Linked DNA regions of Tamandua tetradactyla. The protein of the gene in region 3 binds, or shares a complex with, the protein of the main gene of each other region. Links are inferred from orthologs where the notes say so. Each region holds a gene or a part of one and is shown on either strand. Other genes may lie near its edges. The genes, in order: E2F1, LIN52 and TFDP1.

Evidence for each region.
Region 1: the proteins of TFDP1 (region 3) and E2F1 are in contact, whole or in part, in a crystal structure (PDB 2AZE), measured with the Homo sapiens proteins. The link is inferred for Tamandua tetradactyla from reciprocal best matches to the Homo sapiens genes TFDP1 and E2F1. Residues at the interface, in NP_009042.1 of Homo sapiens: Glu201, Cys202, Leu205, Glu206, Glu208, Arg209, Arg212, Leu213, Arg215, Ile216, Lys219, Gln220, Gln222, Leu223, Leu226, Ile227, Gln229, Gln230, Phe233, Lys234, Leu236, Val237, Arg239, Asn240, Arg241, Glu244, Pro251, Ser255, Val256, Ile257; in NP_005216.1 of Homo sapiens: Arg202, Leu203, Leu206, Thr207, Asp209, Leu210, Leu213, Gln214, Ser216, Glu217, Leu220, Asp221, Leu223, Met224, Ile226, Cys227, Thr228, Gln230, Leu231, Leu234, Asp239, Ser240, Gln241, Arg242, Leu243, Ala244, Tyr245, Val246, Thr247, Cys248.
Region 2: TFDP1 (region 3) and LIN52 share a complex: the UniProt entries of both Homo sapiens proteins name them as parts of the DREAM complex. The link is inferred for Tamandua tetradactyla from reciprocal best matches to the Homo sapiens genes TFDP1 and LIN52.

Annotation. Positions count from the first base shown.
Region 1 is NC_135327.1:19,292,402-19,296,144, reverse strand, and holds the start of E2F1 (transcription factor E2F1), read right to left. Parts: upstream 2,351-3,743; 5' UTR 2,336-2,350; coding exon 2,075-2,335; intron 1-2,074. UniProt on the Homo sapiens protein: Transcription activator that binds DNA cooperatively with DP proteins through the E2 recognition site, 5'-TTTC[CG]CGC-3' found in the promoter region of a number of genes whose products are involved in cell cycle regulation or in DNA replication.
Region 2 is NC_135338.1:33,069,835-33,073,577, reverse strand, and holds the start of LIN52 (protein lin-52 homolog), read right to left. Parts: upstream 2,316-3,743; 5' UTR 1,976-2,315; coding exon 1,945-1,975; intron 1-1,944. Other genes in the region: ALDH6A1 (methylmalonate-semialdehyde/malonate-semialdehyde dehydrogenase [acylating], mitochondrial), read left to right, coding at 2,530-2,577.
Region 3 is NC_135330.1:184,327,957-184,331,699, reverse strand, and holds the start of TFDP1 (transcription factor Dp-1), read right to left. Parts: upstream 2,896-3,743; 5' UTR 2,776-2,895; intron 2,766-2,775; exon of another isoform or gene 2,651-2,765; intron 2,582-2,650; exon of another isoform or gene 2,559-2,581; intron 2,219-2,558; exon of another isoform or gene 2,090-2,218; intron 1,968-2,089; exon of another isoform or gene 1,946-1,967; intron 1,504-1,945; exon of another isoform or gene 1,367-1,503; intron 614-1,366; 5' UTR 550-613; coding exon 538-549; intron 1-537. UniProt on the Homo sapiens protein: Can stimulate E2F-dependent transcription.

The DNA.
Region 1 (3,743 bases), on a different chromosome or scaffold from region 3:
GAGACTATAGTTTTTTCCAGAACTGCCCCCAAACAAATGCCAGTGCAGAGGGTCAGTGGAGACCACAGCTCTTTGCCTAGTGGCTACCCACAGCTGCAAGAGTTGGGGGTGCTGGAGAGCAAAGGCTGGGCCGATGTTTCTAAACTTCAGCTCCAGAATGATTCCAGCCCCTCCCCCTCACACACTCCAGGAGAAAAATGCTCACTGGCCCTTAGGCACTGTGGACAGGGTCTCCTCATTTGACCCCGTGCTTAGCTGTCCTCACTAACTCACCAGCTGCAGAATGAATGCTGCTGGTGGCATCCAGCCCCTAGCCCATCCCCCCTGCAGGCTCTGCCACTGTCCCTGCAGCCCTGGGCCTGTTAAGATCTTCTCAGTCAGCAAGATGGAAGTTACCTGCCCAGGCCCCAAGCTGGTACCCTCGGGGCCAGGCCACTGGGAGTATAGGAAGCATATGTACCCTCCCTGGTACACTATCAACCCACTCACTCATCAGAAGGAAGGGCCCCTAAAATCAACCTGGGTTTCATTCAACTTCCAACAGCATCTCCAGGAGGCGAGGCATCCCGGCAGCTAACTGCTCAGGAAATCTGGACTGCTGCTGAATTCATCAGTCTGGTCCCACCACTAGCAAGCTAAGTAACTGAGGAAGTTCTAAAATCTGAGGCCTCAGCGTCCCCCTCTGTAAAAGGGTTAAATGAGTTAATTTGGATAAAGTGCTTGGCGCAGAGCCTGCATACAAAATACTCTCCCAACAACGGTGGCTGCTATTGTTATTATTATTAGCATCTTGGTGATTCCGGAAGGAAGGCAGCACTGGGCATGGGGCCAAGGGGGCCAGGGGAGGCTCCTGGGATGCCTCTGGGACCAGCTGCCACCCGCGCCTCCATCAGCGGTTGGGTGGTTTCCACCTCGTCCTGGGCCCTGCCTCGCCCCTCCCACTTGTTCCAAGCCCCCGTGAGACCCCATCCTTCCTGGCCAGCCCCTGCCTGCCCGTTTGTGCCCCACCTTCACCCACAGGCTGTGCCAGTCAAACTGGTCTCCACACCCTGTCCTGTGGCCCACAGGTCCAAGCTCCGGGGCTCCTCTCCTTTCTCCGGCTATAATCCAGCCACGTCTGGGCCCCCCCAGTCTGAAATGCTCTTGCGCTTCTCGTTGCTCAGGAAAGACTCTATCAGGGCATTTCTCTGGGACATTTTCTCTCTTCTGGCACTAGGGATCTTGCCTCCAGCTCAGAGGCCCAACCCACCCCATCCTTCCACAGGGGCCCAAGGGTCTGCCTGCCTGATTAATGAGGTTCCATGGCAACCAGGGCCTGGGAGGGTGGAGGGGAGCAGATGGAAGGACAGGCAGAGGGAGGGGATCAGCAGCTGGCCCAGCCATCCCGCCCCTGCAGAGAAGGCCTCCCAATCAGGCAGCCTGTCCCCAGGGGCCTGGAGGGCCAGGCCTGCACCTGGCAGATCATCATCAAGGCAGGAAGGTGAGTCTTCTCAATGCTCCCCAAAAGCCCAACCCCAGGACGACCCACCCACCCTCCTCCGCAGCTAGCCATGCTCACTCCCCAACCTCAAATCCTGGTGTGAAGCCAGCAGGCCTCAATTCAAATTCCAGCCTCACCACTTGCCAGTTGTGTGATGGGGATAAGTCACTTCCCCTCTCTGAGCCTCAGTTCCTCCTCCGTCAGATGGGCACAGTGACAACACCGAGCTCGCAGCGTGGTTGTGGGTTTTAGATGGCTTGAAGTCCACCAAAGGCTCAACCAAAGGCCTGGCATGCAGTAAGCGCCAGCTGCATACACGTGGGCCACTATTATCACCAAGTCTACCCTCAAGTGGCTCCGATTAGGATGGTGAAGCCCACAGCACCGAGTGGCAAACAGGGACTGGCCCGAGGTCACCCAGCACCCCGGGGCGGGGCCCGGAGGCTCAACCCAGGCTCTGCACCGCCCAGTCCGAGGGCTTCAGTCCACCCCTCCCCTCGCCCCCCGCTGCCTCCGGGCCAAACACTGCGCCCCGCCCGGGTCGGCGCGGGGGTACAGGCTGCGCACTTGGCCCAGTGGCCCTGGTGTCCGTACCGGCGGGCGGCCGAGCGCAGGGCGCGGCGCGCTGGGTGTGGGCCGGAGCGCCTGAGGCGTGGCGAAGAGCAGCAGGTCGGCGTCGCTTGAGCCCGCGGCGGGCGCGGAGGGGCCGGCAGGGGCCGGCGGGGCGCTGGCGTCCTGCGCTGCAGAGATGATGACGATCTGCGAGGAGTCGAGCAGCCGCAGCGCGCCCGCCCCGAGGAGGGCCTCCAGCGCCGGCGCGCATGGGCCGCCCGCGGGGGCCCCGGCCACGGCCATGGCGCTCACGGCCCGCGCGGCCCGGGTGGCAAGCGGCGGCGGCGGCGCGGGCCCATGGTGGCCGGCCGCGGCGAGGGCTCGATCCCGCTCCGGATCCCACTCCGCCCGGGGCCGCCGCTGCCTGCAAAGTCCCGGCCACTTTTACGCGCCAAATCCTTTTTGCCGCGAAAGAGCCACGAGCCGCCTAGCGCCCTCGCCATTGGCTTCCCGGGTTATGACGAAGACGGCGGCGGCGGCGCCCACTGGTTGCAGCGCGCCGGGCCGGCGGCGACGGGCTGCACGGGGCGGCGGCGCGGGGCGGTGCAGCCAATCGCGGTCCGGGGCGCGCGCAGGCTTTGTCGGGGCGGTGCCCGGCGCGTTCACACTCCCCGCCCCCAACCCGGACGGCCCCTGCTCAAGGCGTGGTGGCCCCACCCCCGCCCCACGCGCTCGGTCCTGCTGACCATGGTGTAGAGCTTCCATTCTGCTGCTATCACGTCTCCGTCTGCAGCCCCATAGCACATGACCCCCAGACCTGCAGCCCACACTCCCAACCTGCAGCCCTCATACCTCAGCCCAGATTTCCAGAAACTTCCTCCTCCTCCTTTCTGAATTCTCAGGCCCACCTCCAAAGCCCCAGACATATTTCCCATCCTCAACTTGCCCCACCTATCCACCTATGCTGTTTACTCTCAAGTCCTACGCTCCTCCCAATCCCGTCAGTCTTACCCAGTCAGAGCCCAAACCGAGGGGGCTGCCAGGAAACCGGGAAGAACTCGATATGGACCTGGCGCTTTCCTGCAGCCGCATCTTAGCTGGAATCCCTTCAATAGCCAATGCACAAGCTTCTACCTGAACTCATTCATTCATTCGCTCATTCAACAATCGTTTTGAGAGCCTGCCTTGTGCTCCATCCTTATTTAAGACCTTGACTACTGGCCCTAAGGATCTCACGGTCTAGTGAAAGGATGAGAAGGAAGAGGTGGCAAATGTTTACAGCATGATGAGGAATTTCCGCCATTAATGTGACCCCATGTTAGGACCTAACCAAAGGAAGGAGGTGGGGATACTGAGCACAAAAAATGCATTTAATCCGGAAGCCCTGGGACATCTCCACCAGCCATTTCTCCTTGCTCATATCAGTCCATTTGACCAGTATTGTCCTCAACACTGTGCCAGGCCTTGTGTCAACACTGGGGACAGAAATGTGAAAGATTTGATAACTTGTACAAATCTAGTGCTGTTTGGTGTGGGTGATCTACAAGAAAAAAAAGTAACTAAGGCACAAACGAAAATCAAATCCCCTGGTCCAGTCTAAATACCACTTCTTCAGGGAGCCCACCAGAGTCGGAGTTACTCACTTCCTCCATTGCCGGTTGCTGCCTCTCTGTTCAGGCACTGATCACGCTTCTTGGTTTCTCCATCTGCC
Region 2 (3,743 bases), on a different chromosome or scaffold from region 3:
TTAGAATGGCCATTGCCTAAATATCCCCCAAAGAGTGGGTGAAGGATCAAAGGAGAAGGAAGAATTGTATCAAAGAAGAGAGGATTTAACAAATGAGTATAACTACTGAACCATTATACTGATATTCTTTTTAGTCTCCAGTGTCTTAGGGCAGCTAGAAGGAAATATCTGAAATGGTGGAACCATAATCCATACCAGACTTTTAAATTTGTTCCAAAACTACTTGTTAAAATGTACTTTGAAATGTATCAATTTTTTGCATGTATATTTCACAATAAAAATGTTTTTAAAAATGAATGCAGGAGGAATGCCCACTATTCAGCATGGAGGCAGAGGTCAATAAGCTGGAACTGATGACCATGGATCCTTAAAGGAAATCCTTCTCATCAGAAAACTGTATATAGATACAAAAAAAAATTGCTAGGTATAACCCAGGATTTGCAGATGACCACATGTTAAGAACATCTATGTTTCAACAACTGCCAGCTTTTCAGAATTACAGAAAGCTGACTCTGATCTTGATTACAATCAATACAGGCTGGAATATGAAATCAAGACCAATCATCCTGATTCACTAGGTGAGAAAAATCCAATTATTCTCTTAAAGGAATTGTCAGCAATAAAGTTTTGATTTCGGACTTTACATGCACGCTTTAAACCAGCTGCTGATAAGCAGAAAGAGATGAAGAGCTGCATTTTTGCTACTTTGAATAAGACTAAGACCTTATGAATAAAGACTATGACAGGAAATACAAAAGCAAACAAACCTGGAGCTGTTATCACTGACTGAAGAACAGGAAAGTGTGGCAGAGTAATTAAAATCTCATATACCAGACTTGTGAAGAAATGGACTTGCAAAAGGGAACTCTAATAAAGGAAAGATAAATCAGCACTTGTTGACTAGAAGTTAGGGTGTGCTGGTGAGGGAGAAAGTTTGTCTTGGGTGACTGGATAATAATATATTTCACAAAAGAGGAGAATAAAAGAAGGCAATCATTACCTGAATAAAATTCAGACAAAAGGACTGAACAGGAATAGAGGGATTTAAAAAATAAATTGATGCAAGACCCCAACTCTCTAAAAGAAAACAAAGTACAAAAGCATATGGGGGGCGGGCCACGGTGGCTCAGCAGGCAAGAATGCTCACCTCCCATGCCAGAGGACCCGGGTTCAGTTCCCGGTGCCTGCCCATGTAAAATAAAATAAAATAAAATAAAATAAAATAAAAAGCATATGGGTATACCAAAACCACCCAATTGCTTAGGCAACTTAGGCAACATATAAGCAGAAATTTATTAAGTTACTCAGCCTGAGGAAACAACAAAACAAAAGCAAGAGATGATGAGACGCGTGCAAGATTATACTAAAAAGCTCAATTCTCATTTTCCTCAGGACTCTCATGGTTAGGGCCCGAGGTCCCTCGCTTTACTTTGCAGGCAGGGCAACCGTCCCAAACAGAGACGATGGGAGACAATCACGTTTCTCTTGTGGCTCAATCCCAGGATGAGATCAACCACTAATCCCAGCAAGGGCTTGACAGAATCTTTCAGGATGTTCAATGAGAAGAGAACTGACCCTTCAAAAGAGCGCCTGAGAAAGACAACTACAGTAAGGCACCTCCTTTCCTTTCCTCCAGCAGCATCTCCTCCTAGGCCCTCAGCCTTTCTCAAACAGGGGTAAAGGATGAAGCGATACCCGTCCTTTTGCCCGAAATAGGTCCCTCGCAGATGCCCTACTCCACCGTTTGGTGTACAGCGGGGAAACTGGCACCTCTGGAGCCGCTGTGGAGAACCCGCGAGCTGAAAAAGGAGACGCATCCCAAGGAAAGGAGTGAAAGGGAAAGGAGAGAGTTCCAAGAAAGAAGTGTAAGCTTGAGGGTCAGACGGAAAACGGAAGCTTCCTAGTAAAGGGGGTTGCAGGCGAAAGATCTAAGCCGGCTCTTACCGTCAGTGGGAGACGCCATCTTCCAACCCATGTCACGTGACGTGGCCAACCGTCGGCGGGAAAGCGAGGATCATGAGCCACGCCCCCAAAGGGAAACCCTATCCCCAACTCGCAGCCCGGACTCGTTTCCCCGCCTCCTAGGGCAATCTTTGATTAGCCCCGCCCACCACTTGCTAGCCACGTCCCTCATGCAAAATTCTTGGCGGATCTTATTTACTTTCCTCAGTGATGGGGCGGGGCCGCAGCTGTGCGTATGACCAATCAGAGTTCCGGGTTAGGGGGGCGTCTTCCCCGTGTTCTCGCTATAGACTACTCCTGTCAGGGGCGTCTTCCTTATCCCTGCCAATTGAAGTTGCTGAGGCGGGCTGGGGGCGAGTTCTTCCACTATTGACCAATCGTGTATCCCCAGGCCTGGTATTTAGGGGTGGAGTCAGAGTTCAGGGTGCGTGATTGGCTAGGAGAAATGGCCCTCTCTGCCAATGAAGAGGTCCTGCAGATGGAGGGGCGGGGTTTGGCCCCGGTGGCACTTCTGAGGATCTGCACCAGCAGCAGAGGAGCAAGGAGACGAAGAAGAGGCCTAGAGCCATGGCGGTGGTGGCTGCTGCGGCGGCATTCCGGGCCCGTATCCTGCAGGTGAGTGAGGGACGAAAGATCGCGAGTCCAGGAATTGGATCTTTTCCGTCCACTCTCTCAACCGACCTCGGACGGGCAGACTTATTGGCCCAGCTTCTTGGCCGAGTCTCGTGTTCTCACCTGACCTGTGCGGCCGTGTTCCCCCACCCCCACGCCTCGTCCCAGCTCCAGTCCTGGGCCATCACCCCTAGTTCCCCGCCCTTCTACTCCTGATCCTCCCGTTTTCTGGCTTCGGCCCACTCTGCTCTTCCACCTCTACCCCTTCCTTACCTTCACCTTCTTGCCCTTACTTCTCTAGTTCTCCTCACCGTCTTTCCCTTCCACCTTCGCGCCTGCCACCTCTCCCAAGAACCTTTAGAGCTCTTTCTCCTGCTCCCTTTCCTTCATCGTACCTATCCGAGGTAAGAGGGGAGCTGACACGCGAGGGGCGATGGTCACTGAATGAACGTTTTTTAAATTAAATTTTTTTTTATTAGAGAAGTTGTGGGTTTACAGAATAATAATGCATAAAGTACAGGATTTCTATACACCACCTCACCATCAACAGTTGCATTGGTGTGAAAAGTTCGTTACAATTGATGATAACACTTTTTACTGAATGAACTTTGGATATCCTTCTAGAAGTGTCCACTAGGTTTTCACCAAAACCAGCCTTGCTAAGCGTCCCAGCTGTGGCTCTTTGTGTATTCCACAGGCCTTTTCTTGCCAAGGCTTTCACTGAAACTTTCTCTCAGGGAAGTTACACTTTTCACGTTGGAGGTAAATAAGGGCCCGTAGTTATGCTATCAGTATGTTGCATGTTCACTCAAGGGTCTAAACATCTCTAAAGCAATGTGATAGAGGGAGCCAGGGAAGACAAGAATTGTGAGTTCCTGTCCCAAAGTCAGCTCTTGGAGTACCAACATACCCTCAACTTCACCCATGGGAAAGTGGATCCTCTGAAGATAAGCCTAAGGAGAAGTAGTGAAGCTACAAGTGCTGCAAGCCCGAGTCTTATGGTGGCCAGCTCTATCCGAAGCCTTTCCCCTGTTTTTCAAAGCCTAGTGAGCATGCATATTAAGGACTTAGAATATAAGACAAGATTTACTGTAGGCAAAATTCTCAAATCTGCAAGAAACAGCATTACCTCTCTTGTTCATTCACCCAGCCTGGGAACTTCCTCCATA
Region 3 (3,743 bases):
CATTCTGTTCATGATAAGCAATGCTCCCCAGTTCCAGATCTCTGCAGGGACTTTCATCCGAAGTAAATAGCGCCCTTCTCTGCTGAGCATCAGAAAAAAGGTACAGAGCCAGCAACTACTGAGCTCCCACGACATAACTATTTTGTATTCTCCATCTCGTTTAATTTTGTATTCCCCCTCTCTATTTAATTAAGGAATGCCTTAATAAATATATTCAAAATTATAAATTTAATGCAGTCTGAAAAGATTAAGAAAAAGTGAAATTAATATCATTTAAGCACCACATAATATTTATCATCAGGCATTCATGATTACAAAAAACACAAAGGGAGAAGTCATACATCTTCACGTAGGCTACTAGATTTCTTTGTTCTTTTTCACCTTTATCTTGTTTCATCTGCTTTAAAAGTTTAAAAACAAACACTATTGTAGTTTATGTGCTGTCACTCTGCAAAAAAGTGGGAAAACTACAAAGAATTTAGTACTTCCTTACTTCTCACTATTAAAGCTAGGTAAGTATTTATAACATGTACTTACATCTTTTGCCATGTTACCAGATCCGTGAAATCAATTCTCTAAGTGTTCGCCCTCCAGAGAAGAAACAATGATTTTTCTGGCAAACAAAAAAAGAAAGAAAGAAAGAAGGAAAAACAAGAAATGAATAAGAATAAAAAAGAAGTCAGTAAATAAAATATCACATCTTACAGAGACATTTTCCCCACCACCACTTCAACTGTGCTTCCAGGAAACAAGAACCTCCTTTCCTAATTGCATACCCTTACTCAATCCTGAAAATAGAACAGTCAAAACTCATACTTACGACTTTAAAAGTCATTTCAGCAACTGAAAACATACTTTAAATTGACAATCCCATATACAACCAGGATGCAGAAACTCCATTATCCAAAATCATTGCCACTGTACCATAACTTTTTCCCAAGATCACCCAAAGAAGCAATGGGTAAAAACCCCTGAACACACATGCCTGGATTACCTTCACATTTCTAAAGCATTCACCTATAACATTAATTATACCAGTAGGTACATTCATCTCACATATCTCTACCCTTCGCCAACCGAGGCACACACACATATGCGCAAACCTAAGCTGCCACATATTCACCCAACAGGAATATAACTCCCTTTTATGTCCCTGCACAAAGACAAGTACGCAGGGAAATCCATCCCAAAAGAACTCTTGAGAGGGTCTTCTCTCCCACCGTGGTCAGTCTCCAAGTGGCTGATTCAAGCCTGGTTAGACTGTTAACTCTGACAGGTGGGCTTCCAGAGGCACCTTAGCCAGTCCCAACCGCTCGAAGCCCCCCACCCTCAACCTCCACGCCCCCAGCCCGCCCGGGTCCCTGACCTGTCACTAGGCCTCAGGAGCCACCTCCACCGAGAGGAGCCTCCCTTCCCCCGCCCGCCACCGGAACCGGCAGTCCTCGGCCCGGAGCTCCCGAAAGGACCAGGTCGGTGGAAGGGTCAGCCCCTCCCCGTCCCCTCCCGAAGGCTCTCGCTGCAGGCCGGAGCGGATCCGGCCTCCCGGGCCCGAGCGCGGACGGCGCGCTCGGGCCCGGGACGGATCCGGCTGCAGTTGCAACCCAGCCGCCCGCCACCACCCGCGCCTGGTGCACCTCCCGGCAACAGGCGCCCCCCGACCCCCTCCCCGTTGGCCCCGCGTCCCCGGGCGGGCGAGGGGCGCGCGACGATGCTTATCCGGGGCCTGAGGGCCTAGCTCCGGCCCTGCCGCCCCGCCTGCCCCAACCCGGGGACTCCCCGCGGCTGATCCGATCCCCCACCGTGCCCTCCCAGGCAACGAGCCGAGTCCCCCAACAGCCCCACCACCCGCTCGCCTCGGCCGGGCCCTCTCCCGCCCAATCGCGTCCTACTCCCCACCCGCACCCCCTCTCTTCCATTCCACATCCTACAGCCGAGGTCAAGTCACCTGGAGAGCAGCTTCCTCCCCCGGCCGCCCACCCCCCCACCCAGCGAACGGCGGCGGCGAGCCCCGCAGCCCACCACCAACTGCAGCGGCTACAATGAGGCGCGGCGCGGCGGCGTGGGGGGTGCGGGGTGGGGGAAGGTTTACCGACTGCACATGTGCGGCGCACACAGAGCACCAGGAAAGAGCCCCAAGGAGACACCGAGCCTTGCGCGCGGCGCCCACACGCAGGCGAGGCGGGGGCAGGGCCGAGGGGCCGGCCCGCCGGGGACCAGTCCGGCCCGGGCTGTCCCCTCGCCGCTGTGGTCCCGCCCCCCGCGCCCGGCGGCCGGCCCCGACCCAAGCCCGCCCCACAACCGCCTCTCGGGCCGGGCGCCCGCGGACCACCCGGTGCCCCCTCCCTCCAGGACCAGCTGCTCGCCCTGCCCTCCGCCCCATCCCCCAGCTCCATCCTCCCGCGACTCAGGCGTCTCAACACCCAACACCCCCCTTCTCCATCCTCTCCGGGTTCCCGCCCCAGGGCATCCTCTTCCCTCCCCTCCGGCAGCCCCGGCCGCCCGCGGCCCGCGCGCACCCGCCCTTCGCCTGCAGCGTGGGGGTGGCCGGCGCCCCGCACCTGGCTCGCCCGGTCCACGCTCGCGCGCGGGGCTGGGGGCGGAGATGCAGGACGCGGAGGCTGAGGGCCCGCCACCCGGGTCCCGCACTCACGCGAGGACGGCGGGGGTAGGGAGTCCCGGCCGCCCTGGCCAGACCACCCTGCGCCCTCACTCTCTTCCCGCTCGTCGCCGCGACCCCGGGAGCGGTGGCACCGGGGGAAAAAAATTGAAACTTACACTTTGTACCGGGAGCGTCGAGCCGGCGTGACGTGCCGGGAGCGCGGTGACGTGCGGCCACGAGCGGCCCCATAGAGACTGGCCCAAAGTGTCAGTTTCACCCCCGCGCGCTCCGCCTCGGGGAGCGTGGCGCGCCTGCGCGCCGTTTTCGCGCCTTTGGCTCCCTCCCTCCCTCCCTGCCTCCTCCCGCCTGTTCTGCTCCGCCCCCGCCTGGCGCCGGGAGAGGGGCTCTTGTGGATGTTTCTGTGTGTGTGTGTGTGTGGTGTATCTGTGTTTGTGTGTGTGTGTGTGTGTGTGTGTCCGAGAGTGTGTGCGGAGGAGAGAAGGAAAGAGGAGGCCGGGCGACGAGCGTGTGTGGCAGCGGGTGGGCGCGCGGCGCGGAAGCTCCTTCCTCCCGCGGCGTGAGCTCCTGGCCCGGCACCGCGCGTTCGGCACCGCGGCCTCCTGGAGGCGAGGAATCTTCAGACACCCAGCCACCGCACGGCTCCACGCCCACGACCACCCTCCACCCAGCTCCTACACAATTCCATGCATCCTCGATGCCCACCGGGGAGGCATCCCGGAAGTGGGTTCCGAAGGGAAAACCAGGCAGCCCAGTTTCATCCTCTGACTGCCGGAGCGACCTCATCGCCGGTGGGGCTTGTTGAACCCTTATCTCTGAAGACGTAGTCACAACTTCGACCTCACAGCTACTAAGACCAGTGGGTGGATTCAGCCATAAGGGGGTGAAGAAACACAACAGAGGGTTGACTGGTGCATCTTGAGTAGAGTCGGAAGTTCAGTTCTGGATTAGGCAGCAGTGTCCAAGCCCTCCCCTCCCTACCTCGCCGCCTCGTAAGTGTGATGCATAATTAACGTTTGCAAAGCACTTTGAGGTGCACAGACCAAAGGCGCACCGTGTGCAACGTGTTATTACATTACACCCCACACACACCACTTAGCATGGTTTCACAATTTAGCCACTTTTA